4 linked regions of the Saccharomyces cerevisiae S288C genome follow. The gene in region 2 interacts genetically with the main gene of each other region. Each region holds a gene or a part of one and is shown on either strand. Other genes may lie near its edges.

Region 1 (8,693 bases), on a different chromosome or scaffold from region 2:
AAAATAGCCAATGAAGTAGACAGAATCATTTGACCAGTTAGGTAAATTACTGTGTCAAATAATTCAACAACGCGTTTCTACGTGGTGGGCAGAAGTCCCTGGAATACTTTAGTGATGGTACACTTTTCGACATTAGAATTGTCTCTGAATTGTCACCCCGCTAATAAGTTATTTGTATGGACGCCAATAAAACCATACAAACGCGGCTTTCTGGTACTGCGTTTAATCTTGCATGAACTTTTCCGTCCATTGGGGCGAATATTCACTGTGCGATGTATACTACCTTTTTAGCTACTGAAGCCACTCTTAAAGCATGATTTTTTTCCTTCCTGCCATCTAAAGGTTACTTACGGCAACCTTTCCATAAATTGTTGCTGAAATAACATATAATAGTACCAAATGGGCCTATCAATAAGTTTACAGCCTACAAGATTTTCTTCCACTAAAATATATTCGAATAGGACTTTGGCCAAAAACTGTTCATTAAGGGGCAGACTGTTCATGTTTTCTCGCAAATTACCTTTTTAACAAGGTGAAATTATTTTTTTTGGGGAATGCTAACTGTTTATCATCTGCCAGGAAAGAAAACTTAGATCCTCTTTACCAATCGCCGCCAGTAGTACATCATTTCTTATTAAATAAAAACATTTTCATATCATTAACCCTTTTTCAAACATATATGGGATGTAGTTTGCCAAGGATGATCATAAAGGCCTAATATGATCCCCATTTTCTTTTTATTACCAAAAATTCAGGTTTATTGACAAGCCTTCTCTACTCTGTCGCAATGCCAGTTTAACATTGAGGAGTTTAGTAGCTTCATTGTAATGAGGTGACTCTATTTAATTTCAGGTAGAAAAGCGCAGTACCGAGGTGAGCCCTGCATATGTACACTGATTGTGAAAAGCTCCGGCTCATAATTAATTTTTTTGATGAATTATAGAGTACTTTGTTTATAATAGAAGACTTTTTTTTTCCTCCTAAGGTAGCTTATGCGAGAAAGAGCGCCTACTTCGCTTCTAGCGCTACAAAACAATAACTTTGAAGGGTAAAGCTGTTAACTTTTCTTCAAAGCTTAGAAAAGAAAAAAAATTAATAAAAAATTATACTTCTATTGGCAACATCTTGCCATACAATATAAATCGTAAGGGTTCATTAAAAATATAAAATCAGAATTAGAGTGCATTTCAAATGCACAAATTAGAGCGTGATCATGAATTAATAAAAATGTTCGCAAATTATTTGGTGCTGAACATTCTCTTGTACAATGGCTTATCATCGTGAGCCATTTCTTCAGCGTCGTAGTTGGCACCTCTTCTAGATGGTGGAACCCATGAGGCAGACTTCCATGGTAGAACACCTTCTTCCCACATGGTGTTGACTTCTTCCAAAGTCAAACCCTTAGTTTCTGGAACAACTAACAAAACATAGAAGAACATGAAGACCAAACAGCCCATGAAAACGTAACCGTAGTAGAAGTTAATAGCACCAGTAATAAATGGAGTGAAGAAACCAATCAAGAAACCCCACAACCAATTAGCAGCTGTAGCAATAGACATAGCCTTAGACTTGACTCTCAATGGGAAAGTTTCAGAAACAACGACATAAGGAATTGGAGCCCATGTAGTAGCAAAACAGAAAATATAGAAACAGGCAAAGACAATCATACAGTTACCAGCACCCTTGGAAGATGGTTGGTCTTGACCATTTGGCCATAATCTGGTGACACCCACGGAAGCATAGACAACCATACAAGCAGTCATGGATGCAGCACCCCATAGCAAACAAGTACGACGACCATATCTCTCAACAACGTAAATACCAACAAAGGTGGAAGCAAAGTTAACAATACCCAAGACAATAGAGGTTTCGAAAGAGTCACTCAAACCAACAGCCTTGAAAATAGTAGTACCATAGTAGAAGAAATAGTTATCACCTGTCAATTGTTGTAGAGATTGAATCATAGCACCCATGATCAAACGCTGAAGGACCTTTGTCTTGCTACTAAACAATTCACCCCAGGATGCATTACCAGCTAATTTCTCTGCCTCTACACCAGCCAAGACAGCTTCGACTTCAGCCAAAACAGATGGATCATCAACAGCAACCTTGTTAGAAACGGCAATAGAACGTTTGGCTTCTTCGATCTTACCGACTTCAGCCAAATAACGTGGAGACTCTGGAACAAATGTCATACCACCAATCATAAACAAAGCCCAGGCAAAACACAAACCTAATGGAACTCTCCATTGCACAGAGTTGGAGTAGTTCTTAGTACCGAAGTTGGTACAGTAACCCAAGAAAATACCGGCAGTAATCATCAATTGGTAGCAAGAGACTAAAGTACCCCTTAAATGCTTTGGGGATACTTCAGAAATCAACATAGGAGATAAAACGGCAATACCACCAACACCCAAACCGGAAATAATTCTACCGATGAAATATTGGTACCATTTGTTGATAGATGCAATTTGAATAATAATACCGATGATGTAGATGACAACAACGACAATCAAACCCACCTTACGACCGTACATATCACCCAATTTGGAAAGAATAATACCACCAATGGCACAACCAATGTTGAAAATGGAGACAATCAAACCAGTTCTAACCTTAGACAAATAATTAGTACCATCTTTATGCTTCATACCAAATCTTCTGATGAAATCGGTTTGATTGATGAAACCAGAAATGGTACCAGTATCCCAACCGAAAACGAAACCACCAAAGGCGATCATGATACACATAATAGAGACAGTGACATAGGCAGAAGCTGGTCTCTTTGGAATTTCAACGACAGGTTCGTGCTCTTCACCTTCACCATAAGCTTTTATTTCATCTCTTTCAGCCTTGTTTGATGGTGTAGATAAAACCGAGTGGGAGGCTGAGTCAACAGCAGAGAGATGCTCCACAGGAGTTTGCTCTGCAATAGCAGCGTCTTGTGACATTTTTTGATTAAAATTAAAAAAACTTTTTGTTTTTGTGTTTATTCTTTGTTCTTAGAAAAGACAAGTTGAGCTTGTTTGTTCTTGTTTTTTTATTATTAAAACAGAAAAATTGGAAAAAAGAAGAAGATAGTTACAAACCATATGTCTTTTCTCGAGCTCTTTTTATATGTTTCTGTGCTTTCTATATTGTATACCCATTTGCTCTCCATTGTCTGCAAGCCAAAATCTGCATACAGATCCGAGACATCTCTTGGATTTTTTTCAATGAAGGCACGGAGGGCATCTGAATAATCTCAATGAGTAAGAAACGAAATTTTTTAAGGAACATTTTCAATTTGCCTACGGACTATTCTCTGCAAAGTTCCAATAATTTCTCCTTTTTTTCCAGCGTTTAAAGGAAAAAAACTGGTTTTCGATGCCGGGGCCCCACAATGTACCTGCACTTTTTGTGGGGTAAACGTGGATAAAACGAATCTCCGTTGCCTAAAAAACATTTTTTTTCGTACGGTCCCCTCTGCGTTCAGGAAAAAAAGAGATCGGGTGGTGAGGCTAGGTAGCGTAGCCCCTTGGAGAAGCATATGAAACATTTGTCTTGGCGCCGCACACAGGAACTGCGCACTTCTTTTTGTCCTAGGTTGCTTATCACACCATATGGTGCACCCGTGCTCGTTGTCACTGCCTTTTTTTAACAATTCTTCCTTTGTTCCTCTGAAAGCACGGGCCGGCGCACTCCAATTACCCCTACATTAATTTCCAAGTAGTAGCAGGGGGATGAACATGTGAACATGTTGCAACAACTGCGGTGTCTTCTTAGGCTTGTGTTCGGAATTTCTTCCTCCTGTTTCGGTGTGTGTTGCTTATTTTTTCCTTGCCCCTTTGCGGCATCACAGCAGCCGTTGTTCCGTATTCCGGCTGATAAGCATGGAAAGATTTTCCAACAATACTCATGAAAAAATGTGTTGGTGTCTGAGTAAGCTAAATTTTCCCAAATTTGATGCCATTCAACCCGAAAACTTAAAATGTAAAAGGGGTTGAGATAGTGCAGCTGTGTGGCAAAAGTCAAAAAAAATCTGTTCCTTTCAAGGAAATGAAAAAAGGAAGGAAAAAATGTCCAGGACAGAAAGGCCATCCCCTTAGTAAAGAAACCTGCTTAGAGATTCTTGAGGCTCGAAAATGGTTGGTGGTTGGACTTCTTTTGAGTTTTCCGTCCGGATTTCAAACGAAATCCATCATCACGTTCCTAGCAACAAGAGGATTATTGGACGATTGTCGGGAGTAAAGATTACTCAGTTGGTTTTCTAACTCTACTGCGCACTTCTTCGTGGGTATAACAAATTGCACACACATACATTCTTATTATTTGATACTGCTTACGATAACCGGAGACTTCTTTTTTTTCCTGTTCGGCTCTCGCCGATGGTATGAAGTTAAATGGTAGAAAAATTGTTTGTTTTGTTTACAAACTGGATCAAGAAATGTTAAAATTCTGTTTGATATCATGTACCAATGTCTTTTATTAACTGTATCAGAGAATTATATATATAAAGTCATAAATCTTGTGTATTATTTATCATTATTGACTAGCACATCGAATCTTAAAATACACTATTATTCAGCACTACGGTTTAGCGTGAAATTATTTCTTGCCGAACATTTTCTTGTAGAATGGCTGGTCATCATGCATCAATGCATCAGCATCGTAGTTAGCACCTCTTTGAGATGTTGGAACCCATGAAGCAGACTTCCATGGTAGAACACCTTCAGCGTACATATCATTGACTTCTTCCAAAGTCAAACCCTTAGTTTCTGGCACAAAGAAGAAAACGTAGAAGTAGGCGAAAACCATACAGCCCATGAAAACGTAACCGTAGTAGAAGTTAATAGCACCAGTAATAAATGGAGTGAAGAAACCAATCAAGAAACCCCACAACCAATTAGCAGCTGTAGCAATAGACATAGCCTTAGACTTGACTCTCAATGGGAAAGTTTCAGAAATAACAACATAAGCAATTGGAGCCCAAGTGGTAGCAAAACAGAAAATATAGAAACAGGCAAAGACAATCATACAGTTACCAGCACCCTTGGATGAACCATTACCTTCACCATTTGGCCATAGTCTGGTGACACCAACAGAAGCGTAAACTACATAACAGCAGACCATACCAATGGCACCATATAACAAACAGTTACGACGTCCAAAACGATCGACAGTGTACAAAGAACAACAAGTAGAGAAGAAGTTGACGACACCGAAAACAATAGAAGTTTCGAAAGAATCACTCATACCAACAGCGTTAAAAACGGTAGTACCATAGTAGAAGAAATAGTTATCACCAGTCAATTGTTGTAGAGATTGGATCATGATACCCATCATAGTACGCTTAAACATGGCCGGCTTACCAGTGAACAACTCACCCCATGATGCTGAACCAGCAGCTCTAGCTTCTTCAACACTAGCTTCAATAACTTCCAACTCTTGTTGAATGAATGGATGGTCTGGGGCAACCTTGTTAACTTTGGAAAGAGATGCTCTTGCTTCGTCAATTTGACCAGCTTCAACCAAATAACGTGGGGATTCTGGAACGAAAGTCATACCACCGATCATAAACAAAGCCCAGGCAAAACACAAACCTAATGGAACTCTCCATTGCACAGAGTTGGAGTAGTTCTTAGTACCGAAGTTGGTACAGTAACCCAAGAAAATACCCAAGGTAATCATCAGTTGGTAACAGGAGACTAAAGTACCTCTCATTTCCTTAGGAGCGACTTCAGAAATCAACATAGGAGATAAAACGGCAATACCACCAACACCCAAACCGGAAATAATTCTACCGATGAAATATTGGTACCATTTGTTGATGGATGCAATTTGAATAATAATACCGATGATGTAGATAACAACAACGACAATCAAACCCATTTTACGACCGTACATATCACCCAATTTAGCCAAAATAATACCACCAATGGCACAACCAATGTTGAAAATGGAGACAATTAAACCAGTTCTAACCTTAGACAAATAATAACTACCATCTTTATGCTTCATACCGAATCTTCTCAAGAAATCAGTTTGGGCGACGAAACCAGAAATGGTACCAGTATCCCAACCGAAAACGAAACCACCGAAGGCAACCATAACACAACAGATAGACACAGTGACATATGCACCTTTACCTGTATTTGGGTTGGTAAGTACTTGGTCGGCCTCAGCTTGGAAATCATCTTGAACACCTTTTTCTTCAGGCATGTTCATTACCTGAGAGCTATTCGAAGGCAGGTCAGCATTCGAATTCTCACTTGACTTTTGTGGAGATATTAAATCTGGAGTTGAATTCATGATTGTTTAACTCAGATGTAAATTTTGTTTGTGATTCTATTATTTATGAAAAGCTATTAAGTAAAATTATGGAATATTCATGCTGAAGATAAAACAGCGCCTGTATTTATATGCAACCCCCAAGCGAAAAAAAACTTTGACTTTTCTTCTCTTCTGGAGAAATTCTCTGGGGATATAGTCCCCAGATTTTTTGAGTGGGCCCCCAATGTCCCACATCGTTATTGAGTTGTTTCTTTCTCCAGAAGGTCGTTGTACAGTCATTATAATGGCGGTCAGTATAATGACCTCCGGAAATACCAACATCGGGGAAAGCGGAAAATCTGGAAAAATTCTCCACGAAGCTTTCTCTGTGATAATCCGCGACCGAGAGTTTAACCGAATCCGCGGAACGAGATATTCCGTGTTTATTGCGGTATTATATGAGCCGGACGAATCCGGAAAAACTACGTGACAGGAACGATGACCGGGCAGCAGGCGAAGCTGGAAGAATATAGCTAAGAAAATGCGCACGGAAAAAAAACACTCCCGAATTTCTCCGTGAAAAGAGCCTACTAGGGGATAATAGTAGGTATCCGTTAATATTACCGAACTATTGAAAACCTACCAAATGCAAGAAGATGCAAACGAGCTAGAATGTTCCGCGAATAGCTCATCTTACAATTTTTTTCTTTTTTCAAGAAAAAGAAAGTATTTTTTTTTCCTTTCATTTCATTGCTCCTCCTCCAGGTGTTATCTCGAGAAGATGAAGGCTGTCTGCGATGACGAATAGGAAAGAAAAAATTTTCCTTAATTTTGCTTGCTTAATTCTTATACGAATAATTCTTCTTAATCAACATCGGGCTTCATATTTACCAACACGCATTATTGATTAACAATACTTGCCTTAGGTTGAAATTGGACGCCGGAAGAGAATTTATAGCTAGTCAGTGTTCTTCGGCGTAATTTTATTAATGGACATACAGTGTACTTTTCAAACTACACCGCCATTTGATATACCGGTGTAATTTTTGATGAAGTGTCAGAATTAGCCGCACAGTTAATTGAACACTTCGCTGTAAGGTGTGGATACAGATTAGATAAGAGCATTAGGCACCACATTTCTTCAGGCTTTTCCTGATGCTGGTTTGGATATTGCCTTCATCCCGCACCAAAGCTGGCGTCCCGCATGAGGAAAATGAAGAGTTGTAAGCAGCACTAAATTCCGAAATTAAAGGGCGGGCGGATGCCACCAGTAAAATATTCTTGATCAATCTTTGATATTTTCAAATGATCTCCCATTGTAATCTGAGAACTGCTCTTGTTTGGCTACGTAAGGCAGTATGAGGGTTGTAGTTAGTAGTAACCCTGTCTAAGATTCCCGGTGCTATGTACTTCTCTCACAATAATACAAGTAGTGAATGTCACTTAATAAATTTTTGTAATAAAAAGTCTACAAAGTTTGTTTGTGACTTGTCGAAATTCAATTCTGTTGCTTTCATTTTTCTGTAGAGAAGAAATAATATTCCGACAAAATGTAAATAAATATGCTAAAGTGGGTTACGACAAATTTCTTGAGAGCCATTGATTTTTGCTATAGAGGCATGAAAGCATACTGCACACACATCCAATACTTAACTTTGGCAAATGAGGAGCCTAATTACAGAGATAACTTCAAACTACATAAAGAACCAAGATACTAGTTAATGGAACGCCTAGACGATCATGCTTAACTGAACGAAAAGTAACTAATGAAATACAAGTCTCTTTTCGCCGAAATTTGAATTTAACAAGTCTAGTATACCCATTGTTAGTGCATTTCTCCGTGTTTTGAGACGCTTTTTTTACATGCTTCTAAATAAAGGCATCATCCATGCTCGGCAGCCGTAGAAAATCATTAGCCCCTAACTTCCAAAAATAGACTGCGCGCTACGTGAGACGCTTACTTCAGCTGTAGTATCCTAACGTGAAGGTTTTTTTAATTTACCCCATAAGGATCGCGTCAATAGGATCGTTTCCATTTTCCGACTTTGCAGATTAGATGGATCCCTAAAACGAAGTGCATAGTTGCGGTATTTTGTATTTGAGCCATTTAAAATAGTCTGGAAGGTTTTCTTTTTGATTAAATACATTTGGTGTTTCATTAAACCTGGAACAATACATATGATCACTTCATCCCGATAAATACCAAGCCCCAGGAACGTACTTACTCCTACCAGCACCTGTATTATAACCTTTTCTGAGAGTTCTTTTGTTTTGCTTGCAAGGGTATATTTCGCAGATATCCACGAAAACTTTATTCATTTGCTCAGGCTATATTACATTATATATATATATGTATGGATACATAAGAAAAATGAGATGAATAAAAACGACAACTATTTATTATGGCAACATTGTTTACTGTGGCTATTTCTCGCATCACT
Region 2 (3,867 bases):
CGATATTGTCAACTTTAACAAATTCCAGAGACTCTAAGAAATTTGAAAACAAAATCAAGGCGTATATTGAAAAAATCATAGTGCGGTTATCAGATGAAGTACCATCCACATATTTTTTCCAAGATGGCGTAGATTGTATTATTCAACCAAGTCCGATTCATAATTTCAAGAGAATGCATTGGTTAAGATACACCAAGAGGCACAATACCTTTTGGGGGAGGACTATACATAAGGACGTTCAAGTCAGCTTCAATGACAAGTATGTTGTTACTAGGAGCGGCGTGAGGTATACGAGGTATCCCACTAATTTGAATACACAATTATTGGAAACTGCATTTGAAGAATGGGACTACTATGAGTGATTTTGCATTGAGTACTTATCCACTGCTCTATTATGTGACATATTCGCAATTCGTGTAAATATTATGCATATGCATCTTGAGCATGCATGGAATATATAAATATGTAGGTTTGTTGTAATACTGTTTCTGCTGTGTCCTTCAAATATGGCCTATATGGTCGCTGGTAAAAGTGGCAGAGCTATTGTTATTGCCTTCACTGCCAACTTCATATTCATCGTCATCTTCATCTTCCGCGTTCTCATCGTCATCTTCATCTGAATTGAAAACGACATCCTTTGTCGAATAAATGTATATGCCTGGTTTGTCTAATCCCAACCGTTTCCTGACCATGGCCTTTCTCTGTTTGGTTTTTTCATTTTTCGAGCTGCTGCTATTATTGTGGCCTACGCTTTTCTGGACGATTTGGTCTGTAAAGTATAAAATTTTATCACGCGCATAGCCTAATTTCTTCAGCGCTACATCTTTATAAGTTCCCCTATCATTGAAATGCATTCGATCAATGCTTCTGCCCACTGATATCTGATCTTCTGGGTCGTAGCGTGATATGGTCTGTAAATCACATACTTCCGAATTACTTGACGTATCGTGCCGATCCGTTGATGCGTCCTGAGATTCCCTCCTGGTTAAAGCGTTTTGAACCCTTAAGGCGTACTTGGCAAACCGATAGTCTTGTTGCTCTTCCTCGAAGATAGGTCTTCCCAAAATGCTTTGCGCTTCCTCTTTTCTTTCCAAAACATTTAATCTATCCAGCCACTCCCATGTGATCACGGTCGAAGTGACATAGCATGTCGTGTTAAACACTTCACCCAGTTCCGATATCCATAAGTTCGACACATCGGCAAGGAAGAAACCCGGTAATAGAAGCACCACAAGAATAGTCAATAGCGTAAGTAAACCCATTTGATTGAATTTAAACCACAATTTTTTTTTCTGCCAGATGTGATAAATGACGATTGATGCATATGACGTGGCGATGGCAATACGGAAAAGGTAAACAAATGGCCGCAGAATCTGCCAGTCATTTCTGTGTTTTGTAGTATGGTTAGCAAACGGTGGAATTACCCATAAAATATTTGCGGTTATTGTTAATATCACCCCAATAAAAAAAATTATTCTCTTTTCCTGAGCTCTTTGAAATAGCCTAATGACAATGCCGACTTGGCAAAATTGGAACATTAAAGTAGCCAAGAAATCCAAGACAACAAATGTCATATCATCGGAAAAGATGTGCATAATGGAATGAGCCCGAACGACACCATAGACATTGTGCTCTTTTTCCAATCTCCGCAACACCTTCGTGATAAAAATCGTTAAGTTCAACGAGGCTAACAACGAGGCTATCCTCAGTAGTTGTAGAATTCTCTTATATGCGCGCCCGCTGATATTTATACAGCATATCACAGTCAGGAACACTGTGATGACAAAATTAGAAGTTATCGACAAAATCACAGCATAAATCGCATACTCAGCAGAACCGCCGACATAATCGCTTACTTGAATGAATTTTTGCCAGTCATTGATCACCTCATCAAGATACCTATATGGGGAAGAGTTTCTTAGCACCGTAGATACATAAACGGGCACTCTTTCACAGCAGAAACTCCTAAAAGTAATATCTTCTGCATATACTGCCGAATTGTCATAAAGAGGCAATTGTATCAGCACCCCTGAACCTAGCTTCATTGGATGACAGCTATTGTAAGCAGCCAATTCTTCTGGACTATGTCTCCACAAGTTCATGTTTGCAGAATCGACTATTCATCGAGTGTCTTCCTCCTTATGTGCTACTAAAAACGATAGTCTAAAATGACTGATTAAGTGCGCACAGGAAAGAAGAAAACAGGTAAAGGACACCGAATCTGTAGTACCAGTCTTTTGTCTTTCTTGTAACTAAACGATGTGGGTTGCTCTTCTAAAGTACTTATCTTTACTCGCCGATACAACGGGTTCCATCTTCTCTTTCAATAGCTGCTATTTTTCTGTTCGGGCAGTATCAGAATTAACAGGATCAAACCTCGTTTATGTCACGTAGAAAGAAAGTAGCTAAAAATAGCTAAAGGGACATCTAGAAGCTTTGTAGGAGTCAAAGAGTTGCGCACCCAGAACCATTGTAATTAGCATGCAGAACGATCAACAGAGGTTCTCCCTGCAAAATAGGACGGTACTGGCGCATCCATACAAAAGGCTAGGAGGGGCATTTACGGTGAAATCACCGTCTGTTCCTAACTTTCATGATAAAATGCATTCAGATCATAGTTCTAGCGACTCAGCTCTGGTGAACGGAAGCTTTAGAGCGAATGATCATCGCTCTGTGGAACCAAGTTGTTTGGGCCAAGCATCCCCCTCTGAACATGATGGGAATTTAAGCGTTATTGACCTGTATGGAGACGAAGTGGAATCCCAACGTGCCGAAGGAGAGGATGATGATGATAATAATGGCGATAATGGTAACGAAGATCTGGAGGAAGTGCACAGTGATGACCTCGATTTGGTTCCTGATGATGACAACCGTCAGCGTGTAGAATTGGAGGGTGCCGCTAGTGCCACAAGTGCGAATTCCAATGGAATCAACAATACCCATTTTGATCGATACGGTTTCAAAAAACAGAATAATTACATATCTGAAGCAGAATACGATAAGTGGTGGGTAGAATATTCGCAGTACTGCGTTCGCCGTAAGCACAAATGGCAATTGCTGTTGGAGAAAAGTGGGTTGCCAGTGACCGATGATTCTCCTTCACGATTTCCATCAAAGAGTGAACGGTTAAAAAGGTATGTCAGAAAGGGCATTCCAGCGGAATGGAGAGGAAATGCATGGTGGCATTTCGCTAGAGGGCAAGAGAAGTTAAACAAGAATAAAGGCGTCTATTCACAACTTTTACGAAAGATGAAGCAGATCAAGAAACAAAACCCTAATGAAAAACAAGTTCAAGACTTGGATATTATTGAACGTGACTTGAATAGAACATTTCCGGACAATATACATTTCCAAAGTAGCTTGCATAACAAAGAGGGACCTCCGATTATAAAATCTTTACGCCGGGTGCTTGTTGCGTTCTCTCTCTACAATCCGAAGATTGGCTATTGTCAATCTATGAACTTTCTTGCAGGCTTGCTATTGTTATTTTTAGACGAGGAAAGGGCCTTTTGGATGCTAGTGATTATTACTTCAAGATACCTACCGGGGGTGCATAATATCAATCTAGAAGGTGTTAACATCGACCAAGGGGTACTGATGCTATGTGTCAAAGAATATATTCCAGAAGTTTGGTCGTACATTAAGCCTTCCATTGACCACCACCAAAAAAATAACAAAACTTTTTCTCCGTCAAATAAAAAAGTTTTATTCAATATGCAAAAGAATGAGTTCTTGTACAGACTTCCGCCCATTACTTTGTGCACGGCGAGCTGGTTCATGAGTTGCTTTGTCGGTGTAGTGCCGATAGAGACCACGCTTAGAATATGGGATTGTCTGTTTTACGAGGAATCACATTTTCTATTCAAA
Region 3 (5,234 bases), on a different chromosome or scaffold from region 2:
TAATAATTGAATGTGGTGGTGATGGGCTTCTGGGTGATAGATTCAATGAATGGCAGCTAACAATACGAGGGCTTTCTCGAATCATCATAAATATCATGAAAAGTTATCCTCGAGCGCACATATTCCTACTTGGAGGGGGTGGGTACAACGATTTACTAATGAGTAGATTTTATACGTACTTGACTTGGTGTGTTACAAAGCAGTTTTCCAACTTAAGATGTGGTGACAATAATTCGTTCCAAATCGATCCATTTGATGTCTGTGATGGTGATGATTCTGAACAATTTATACGTGAACATGATCTTGTTGAAATGTATAATGAAGAGAACTATCAGTATTGGATATATGAGATGGAAGGAAGTTCTCGAATGAAAATGTTAAGGAATGACAATAAGGATAGAGATATGGTCGAACTTATGAAGTTTTACGAACTGTAAGATAGTTTTAATTAGTCGTTTGAATACAAATTAATAATGCGAACGCCGCAGCGTTTTATCCCGTAATGCTCTTGCTAGGTTTTCAAATATATAATAGAGACAATTAAGTAAAAAAATGCTTGGCAGCTGGGCATGCTATATACAGGGATGAATATAATACAGCTTAATTTTCAATATCAAAACTACTTCCACAACCACAACTACTTTTTAGGCTACCATTGATGATTTTGAACGAAGAACCGATCAACTCATTAGTGTATGTCAGTGTAGTGTTATTCAAAATGTTTAGTGATTTACTATCAATTATCACTCGACCCTTATCTTCGGGTAACACGTATATTATATCCTTGGAATCATCATCGTCAAGGTCGTCTGAAAACTCCTTGTCTTTGACATCATTCTTAATATCTGGCTTGGTAGCGGGTTCTAGAGTTAGATTGTACTGGAAACCGTGACATCCACCACTTTCCACACTAATTCTTAAATTTTCCTTACTATTGCGGTAGATCTCAGCTAGTCTGTTGGAAGCCCTCTCAGAAATAGATAAGTTTAACCCAGGCGTCTTATTTATTATTCTTTTCGGTGTGATCAACGGCTCCTTAGTGACCAGATCCGAGTAAAATGCTTTGCTATGAAATAAAAAACATGTTAGGGGAAACTGGCGTAAAGTTGTGGAGGGACGTCTAAAGTTTAGTCTGGTAAACAATAATTTAGCCTGCATACCTTCTTTACTGTGCAATCACATGTACAAGGCTCTCTAGGATCTCGACTTACTTGCAAGATGTTTAAACAAGTGACACCGGCGGATGGTATTATTCATTAGTAATACTAGTTGGAATTGGAATTTGAACAAACAGTACAGTCGGGTAACCGCTCGAACTTGAAACTGTACATAAAACACCCTTCTGAGCAGTTAATCAAAGTGAAATTATTGCCGTTTTCCAGGTCGATTAAATCATTATAAATCTTAACCATCTGCGTACAGCATGTCGCTGCAACCATCGCATTCGTAGTGCTTACACTAGGTATGATACTCTTTATTATACCCAGGATAAAACTTGTTGATAATTTTTCTGTTGAGATGCTAAATTGGGCAGCCCTTTCGCAGCACTTCTCCAGCAGAAATTCCATATCCGCCGTAGACTCAATATTTAAATCAGGGTATTGTATAGTTGAGACATACTCCACAACATGCTCAATGCAGCGAGGATTGTTGGCGATTGTACACATTGGCACAGTATCCTGCTGCGAGGGCAAGGTATCAATGGAGCACTCCCAGCATGCAGTGATGCCTGGAATGATTGTTTTTACATGTCCCTTGAGCCCCTCTGTTCCACCATCTATGAACGGGATGCAAATTTCATAATTGGACTCCAAGGTAAGCTTCACGAGAGTCTCATTGATGAAGCGACGAGGTTCAATGGCGTCCAGCCCCGAGATTATGAACTGGAAGTCTTTGTAAAAGCTCGGGGGCAAAGTGGTCAGGTCCTGTACGTGCGCCACAACTTCCAATTGAGGGAACCGCGTGTTTACATACTGGGCTGCCACTTGAGCTTTCGGTTTGCCTATGTCCTTATCACAAAAAAGAAATTGTCTATTAAGGTTGGTTAGCTCGATTGTGTCTATATCTACAATATGAACCTGTTTAACAAAGCTTAACATTGTCAAATTCTTCAGGATTTCGCATCCTAGACCACCTGCGCCTAACACCAATATCTTGCAGTCCATCCTCGTCGCTTTATTATCGATAATATAGGTATACAATATCTCATTGATTTGTTTTTTAAGTTTAAAAAAAAGGGCTTAAAAAACGACTATGCTGAAACATTATACAATAATACATATTTTTTTTTAAAGGAATGATATTATTTGTGAGGTGAATATATACGTGAAAATTGAGAATATAATTTTATATATTCAAATAGAATTTGTAGACTGTTTCTTTTTTCTTTTCTTTCTTTTTTGTCTCTGGGTACTTTGTTTTAATTTTGACTTTTATTTGCTGTTATTTTACATATTTTTCAATTGTTCTTTTGAGGCGATTTAAACTTTTATTAAACAGGAGCCAAATGCATAAATTTTTAGTTAAAGGGAATATAGTATAATATAATATAACGGAAAGAAGAAATGGAAAAAAAAAATCATTTCGGAGAAACTAGGCTAGTTTTAGCGGTGACCTCAGTGTTGCTTGAGTTTATAATTTGATGTAGAGGAATGTTTTGGTTTGGTATATGAGGAATGTGATGATGCGTAGGGGTAGTTGTGGACAATAGATTGTTCCTGGTGTGAGACAGTGGTTTGACAATATAAGTTGGTCCCATCTGCTTTAGCTGCTGGTACTGATCCAGTTGAAAATCTTGCAGAGAAGGTAATAGAGGGGGAGGTAAATATTGATTTGAATTGTTGATACTGTTTAATCTGTTGTTCTCCAGTACAGAGGAGTTCGGAGAAGAGGAGAATTTCCCAGGAGAAGATGTCGCAGTTGTTGTGGATGTGGTAGTTGTAGTTACCGGTGTTTGACTGCTGTTGTTGATAATGGATGAAATAAAGGGCAATTGAGGGGTCGAGTTAGCCCTTGGTTGAGCTTGAGCGACGTTGAGGTAATGATGTCTCGTTGAAGGGTCGTGTGGAGCTGAGTAATATGGAATAGAATTTAGTTGAGATGACAGCTGTGGTAGGTCTCTTGCCGTCTTATCATGCGTCAAAGGTAGTCCACTTAAAGATCTGGAGACCATATAGTTAGAAGTATTAACAGAAGGAATAGGCAACCTCTTAAGATCATTGTTCAATTGGAACTGATAGCTGTTCGAGCTTGACACCGAGGAAGATGGTGAAAGAGAATGTGCTCTTTTCATAAGAACTATATTGTTGTTAAAGGGCTGTTGTAATTGCGGTTGTGACTGTTTCTGCTGCTGCTGTTCTTTCTGTTGTTGCTGCTGCTGTTGCTCGATTTCCTTCAAAAGTAGTTGCTTCTTCTTAGACTTTCTTACCGGCTTGTATTTGTATTCAGGATACTTCCTTTCATGTTCTAGTTTCTCCTTCTCCGCTAGATTTTCCCAGTGTGCCTTATCTTCCGGTTGTAAGCCCTTCCACTTCGTACCAATAATTTTAGAAATGTTTGAATTATGGGGTATTTCCACACCTTGAGCGGTCCATTCGTCTATTAAGATCCTGTGGTAGTGCTGTCTGAACAGAATAAATGCGTTCTTGGGTCTTGGAATCTTAGGTGTAGAGGATTTAGGATTCATTGTTGATTGTCTAACTGCGTTCTTTTGTGTGAAGAAGTATTAGTATTTTCTGGAATAATGAGGGGTGAAGAGGGAGAGTTAAGACACCGTAAATGTATAATTATATGCGAAAATTATAAAAGAAAGCAATGAGAAGAAACATTAAAACTGGAAAATAGTGCTATATTTAAGTAAAACTTCTGAAACTACAATTAGCAAATAAGATAGAGCAGAAAAGGAAAATGCAAGAGCGAAAAAAAAAAAACTTTGTTTAAGACCGTTACATTACGCAAAGTGAAAACGAAGAAAATATAATAGCAAAGAGCACTATAATAGTAAGAACCTACACACAAAAGACACAAAGAACACCGGCAAGACAATACGAGGAAGAACAACAAAAGAGGCAGCAACAATAGGCCCTTTTCTTCTTTGTCAGCAATCGCCAAGTTCTAGAACAAGGTTTTCCTACCAGATTTCCAATTGTTTTGCATAGTAATTCCCGGTAGTTCCACGCGGCCGATACCTCGACAGGCCAATGATATCCAGGGGATTTGTCGGCCGAGCCGAAGATCACCTGCCTCTCCGACGTCGGCTTTGCAGCTGCGGCAGCTCCTAGCGTAAGTAGCAGGAAAAAAAAGAAAGAAAATACTTTAAAGTACGCCTGCACCTGGGTTGCTCTAAACGGGAACAAGAGCCGGTTCCGATAACCGCACACTATTATTTCTAATCCCTCTACGTAATTGCTAAGCACACATGACTTCATACTTGCGTCACCCCGATTTTATTATTCCCTCCGGTTAAGCAAACGCCGCACCCCTGAGTCCGCCAGACCGGCCGCAAGAGAACGCAGTGTGTGTTCCTGTCTCTTTGCACGAACAAAGGAGATAGGACGGCACCCAGGCTCGCTAGGCGGCTACATGACTAAATGCCCAAGTTTCGTGCATTATGTAGAAGAAAATAGACGTCTGTGTAATCATTTCTTGAAGCAAAGCAATATTTGCAGGTTGAATGTAGGTCAACTGCATACTGGGAAGCGTTTTCTGACCGCTTCGGAAGCGTGAGCGGTCCGTCTCTTACAACTCGTTTGGAGCTACATGGTGAGACAACATTGGCGCGCACGCCAATGTTGTCCTTCTCAATGGCCATGCAAACACTGCTATTTTATCGATAACTGTTGTGATCTTGGCTTAGTTCTTGTGCTTTTTACACCCCGCAGTAGCGCTAGTTGTATGATTGCGGTTATCTGTCGCTTCTGTTCTCGTAACGCGCAACATGGAAGAAAAAATACTGAAAAATAATTTTAACAAAAGCTTGAGCAGAATGGGCATGGTACAACATCCATAGGCAAAAAAAAGGAATACATATACTCCGCTGCTACCTCCTCAACTAAACAATGACTTTGAATAACGTTGCAAGGCCCGACCTTTGTGTTTCGTATGTTTTTCACCGACAATTTTCTTTCAAATTTGCTGATATTGCCAATATATACTAACAGTTCAACCGCTCCCTTTCTACCACAGGTACAAGAAAATTGCGCCACCAAAAGGACTATATTCTGCCACACCAAGCA
Region 4 (4,250 bases), on a different chromosome or scaffold from region 2:
AGCCATTAGTTATTAATATGCTCTCCTCATTATTCCGTGATTCTGAGTTTGAAGCTGAACCGTTATTGTTTGAAGTCTTCTTCTTGGAATTCTTAGTGTCAATTTCAAAACATTTACCAAAGGGGTCGCAGTTAAAAATCGAAATCTGATGCGATGACGCGGCCACCACACAGCACGTTGCATCTTGATTGAATTGTAATACTTTCATATCCTTTTCTATCTGTCTATTTCAAATCCAAAGGAGTGGAATTGTCTTTTGTTGGTCAAATTCTTTCTGCAGCTCACGCTCCTTTTTTGTTAATATTCATTTCACTTTTTCATATTTTGACATCTAGGCGATACCTTTTTCTACCTTCCAGCTGCCACCGCTTAGAGTCAGGAAAAAGACGATGGATATATATATAATAGTCGTATTTAAGATATAACAGATAAAAAAATAATACATTCACCACGCTTGTTAAAAAGCATGCCGTATATTTCCCATAAATTGAACCATATTCTTAATAGTCTAAAGATATCTTGGTCTTCTTTGCAGGTATATTATGTGAGATTTCATCCGAGTGCGAGTGTGAATGTGACTGTTCCGAGGCAGCTGAACCTTCAGCATCATCCACGGGTATGCCCCATTGTTCTATTTCAAACTTTTTTCTGCCATTCTTAAATGCCCATTCAGACTTTAAAACTCTCATCTCTCCACGGTCCGTGAAAACTGGTAATTTCAATATGTGGACTAGCCCATGTTGAATCTTCCCCGGTTGCGATTTATAAACACGTTCTAAGAACTCAGTCATCTCCTGGTTAAAGGGTTCTAGATTGATAACAGAATCGAACATGTTTCTCAGCAATACCAGTAATGGGGGAGTGATAATGTCTATGGATATGGAAGCAAACAGTACAACCCGCTCATAGTATTTCTTGACAAGACTCCTCACACCGTGCATTAAACCTATTATTTCAGATGATTCAAACATTTTGGGCGGATACATTGCCGGATGTAGAAGGGAAGGAATAACAATTCTTATCAGTTTCTTGTCATTCCTTTTAATAGTCTGTTCTATTTGGCTCAAAATAGTGGAGACAGGTTGAGTTGGGGCGATAAATGTCAGTTCAGATGCTATGGGAGCGGGCATCAGACGCGTTGTAATATCAAACTGATGATTGTAGTCCTTGTACTCAGAATTTTGTTGGATGTCATCTCGATCCGGAGAACCCAATCTCTTTTCATCTGCCAGTTTATATTTCCATGCAATTTTCAGGTCTTTGTACCTGGAAGGCGTCGATCTCTGGGTCTCGTTCAAATTTTGAACAGTAACTTTTGATTCTTCTTCAGAGATTAGGTTTTTCTTCATTTGTTTACGTGATCCCTTGTAGATACCAGGTAGCTCCTTTGCAAACATTTGGTTCAATGACAAGACAATGACATGAGTGTCGCCGTTTCTAGTTTTATCAGCACTGCTATCTGAAATTCTATTATGAACGATACCCTGTGCGGCAAACAGTTTACCGAGAATAGAGTGAAATTCTGTCGTGCTCTGCTCCTCTACTAGTACAGAGTTTCCCAGCGGCAGCCCCATATGGCCTAGTATACTGTCCAGGTCAGCACTCCCAGTTGATGTCGTCGGCTGAGAGGTTGCAGGAGAAGGTCTAACGCCCACATGGGAGCTATCCAGCCCCATTTTTGTCTTGGATTCGTCCGCAATATTCAACTTCTTTAATCTCGCTGTAGTGTCAGACAAGGGCACATTTCCAGGGGCTCTTCTGTTGCCTGTCCTCAATGGCGTTGAGGAAGTTCGTGGAGGACCTCTTAACAGTGGACCTCTTAGCCCGCTACCTCTATCGTTCAGTATTTCACCTCTTTTACGAAATGACATGGTACATGCGATATTTGGGAGCCGAATTTGTTATACAATGTTGTTCTCTGCACCTCATCTCTAAACTATCCAGCCTCATCGACATCTTCATATGTCGTTTTTGTTATTTTAACAGTTTAGAGTTCATTCCATGCGCTTTACCCGGTCTGGCGTCAAAAGCCATCAATAACATAGCTACTATTGCGTCTGAGAGAAGTCGACCATAGGGAAGAACTTGCCATCTGGTTTTGAGTTAGTTAGAATTATCACTATTGAAGATAGCCCAGCAAAATGCTTGTGCAAGAAAGCACATCGTCTAGTGGCCTTTTTTGAAGAAAGAATTGGAACTACTTTAGAAATACATTTACCACAGTGAGTATATGACACTGATATTCTCCTTGATTATCGCCCAAAATACATTGTAGGCTTCAAAAAGATTAAAATATCAATTAAAAGAGAGAGAATAAATAGGTTAAGGCCCAAATTACAATAGCGGCCTCCTATTTGTCTTTTCCATTCGATGCGATATTTATCAGTATTATATGAGAACAAATGGTGGTATTATAAAAAAAAAATATTATAATGAGATATATGTCTGATTTTAATAATAAACTTTTTAGCTAATGATTCCTTCTGCGTTCATTTTCTGAATATTATCAACAGCTGCTAGTTTTTTTTTTCCTTTACTGTCGTTAAGCAGTTCCCGAAGACTCACTACTGATGCTTAACAAAAAAAAAAAAACGTAGTTCGAGAATAGCGAGAATATGGTGTGAACAGTAGCACTCCAATTACTGAAGGATTGCATGCCTGCTTGTGTTGCAAATGAATTTTGTTACCTGCCATGTTCAGATGAGGCTTCTTCTCCAAAGGAGACTAGTGCGTTTACGAGAATCAGAGCTGTTTAGACCCCAGACATCATTGTCAACTTTCAAAAGACATGCTTCGCAAAAGACACGCCCTATACAAAAATGCTCGAGAAAATACGCACGTATACTTCTGTTGTCTGTTTTGGTACCTTACACAGGATATGCGTTTTATGTATCATTGGCTACAGTGAAGCAAATTGATTTAAGAAACGAAATGTGTCAAAGATTAGAGGAGAATAATAACGAGGTCACTTATAAGGGATCCTTGCTAAAATATAGCCCTTTGGAAGTTTTAGGCAGATTTGAGAACCCGTTCGAAGAATACAGGATTCAGACCGTTTTTGAATTCTTTGCAAATAGAGTGTTCGAATTATTTGAAAGAAATAGGGGAGGTATTCCACGTGATGTACACCAAATGAATAAGTTAATGCCTGTACACAAGCCAACATGGGGGCCTAACTTAGTGGACGTCGACCCCGCAGAGGAAACGGCATTGCCGCTAGAATGCAAAGTGTTAGACGAATTGCACATACCGACTGCAGTAGAAGAAAATGAAGGATCAAAGTGCCCAGTCTATAACACATGGCTGGGCCAGTCCTGTAACTACACGGTTTATAATGGATTGAGGATACTTACTGATCCTCTGTTCAGTGACTTTCTTATCCACAAGACCCTGGGTCCTAAAAGAATTACTCAAATGCCATCTCAAATTACAGAGGTGCCCAAACCAGATATCATCCTTGTATCCCATAATCACCCCGATCACCTGGATTTAGAAAGCTTGGAATACTGGAGTGGCAAAGACTCTCCCTTATGGATAGTACCTAAAGGAATGAAATCTTATATGACAAGTAACGGCTGTGATAATGTCCTAGAATTATCTTGGTGGGAAACTTTGCAAGTAAAGAAAAACAATGAGATATACCACATATCGGCTACTCCTGCCATGCATTGGTCTGGGAGATCGCTCTTAGATACGAACAAGTCTCTATGGTGCTCCTTTTTATTAACACACCATGGTAATCCCATACTTTTTCATGCTGGTGACACTGGATATGTGAAAGATTTATTCGTTAGAATTAAAGAACGCTTTGGCAAAGGTTGTAAATTAGCGCTGCTTCCATGTGGTCAGTATTGCCCTGAGTGGCACCAAAAACCACGACATATTAATCCTCAAGAGGTTCTCAAGATTATGAAAGATCTAGAAGCTCGAAATGTATTAGGCGTTCATTGGGGGACCTTTGTATTAAGCGGAGAATATTTCTTAGAGCCAAAGGAAAAATTAGAAATGTTGGCCGAGTGGGGTGGGTTTAAAGACCGCTGCTACTGTCCAGAATTGGGCAAGACAGAATGCTTCGACTAACTTAGGCGCTAATATTTAAGCTGCAGCGTCCCTGTAAATAGCGATAAATTACAGTAAACGTAGACTTTGGGAGATTGTACTCACTGAACATTTTATGATTTAATGATTTTGTAATTTAAAAACATTCGTATGATATCCAATAAGATGTTATAAAGAAATTACAATTAATG

What was found.
Region 1: mutations in RIM21 (region 2) and HXT3 together harm fitness more than expected from each alone (negative genetic interaction), as found in Saccharomyces cerevisiae (2 studies listed by BioGRID).
Region 3: mutations in RIM21 (region 2) and ROX1 together harm fitness more than expected from each alone (negative genetic interaction), as found in Saccharomyces cerevisiae (2 studies listed by BioGRID).
Region 4: mutations in RIM21 (region 2) and ELP4 together harm fitness more than expected from each alone (negative genetic interaction), as found in Saccharomyces cerevisiae (2 studies listed by BioGRID).

The regions. Positions count from the first base shown.
Region 1 is NC_001136.10:1,158,370-1,167,062, forward strand, and holds HXT3 (hexose transporter HXT3), read right to left. Parts: upstream 6,292-8,693; coding exon 4,588-6,291; downstream 1-4,587. Other genes in the region: hexose transporter HXT6, read right to left, coding at 1,239-2,951; YDR344C (uncharacterized protein), read right to left, coding at 3,637-4,080. UniProt on the Saccharomyces cerevisiae protein: Low-affinity glucose transporter.
Region 2 is NC_001146.8:78,159-82,025, forward strand, and holds RIM21 (Rim21p), read right to left. Parts: upstream 2,103-3,867; coding exon 501-2,102; downstream 1-500. Other genes in the region: MRX6 (Mrx6p), read left to right, coding at 1-362; Rab GTPase-activating protein MSB3, read left to right, coding at 2,482-3,867. UniProt on the Saccharomyces cerevisiae protein: Required for the proteolytic cleavage of the transcription factor RIM101 in response to alkaline ambient pH. Required for growth at alkaline pH.
Region 3 is NC_001148.4:678,144-683,377, reverse strand, and holds ROX1 (Rox1p), read right to left. Parts: upstream 3,686-5,234; coding exon 2,579-3,685; downstream 1-2,578. Other genes in the region: HOS1 (histone deacetylase), read left to right, coding at 1-437; ISA2 (Isa2p), read right to left, coding at 601-1,158; NEDD8-activating protein UBA3, read right to left, coding at 1,266-2,165; YPR064W (uncharacterized protein), read right to left, coding at 4,008-4,427; YPR063C (uncharacterized protein), read left to right, coding at 5,058-5,098, 5,185-5,234. UniProt on the Saccharomyces cerevisiae protein: Transcription factor that represses the expression of HEM13, COX5B, ANB1, CYC7 or AAC3 (hypoxic function). Binds to the DNA sequence 5'-RRRTAACAAGAG-3'.
Region 4 is NC_001148.4:357,830-362,079, reverse strand, and holds ELP4 (Elongator subunit ELP4), read right to left. Parts: upstream 1,872-4,250; coding exon 501-1,871; downstream 1-500. Other genes in the region: ATG21 (Atg21p), read right to left, coding at 1-208; FMP30 (N-acetylphosphatidylethanolamine-hydrolyzing phospholipase D), read left to right, coding at 2,674-4,080. UniProt on the Saccharomyces cerevisiae protein: Component of the elongator complex, a multiprotein complex which is required for multiple tRNA modifications, including mcm5U (5-methoxycarbonylmethyl uridine), mcm5s2U (5-methoxycarbonylmethyl-2-thiouridine), and ncm5U (5-carbamoylmethyl uridine).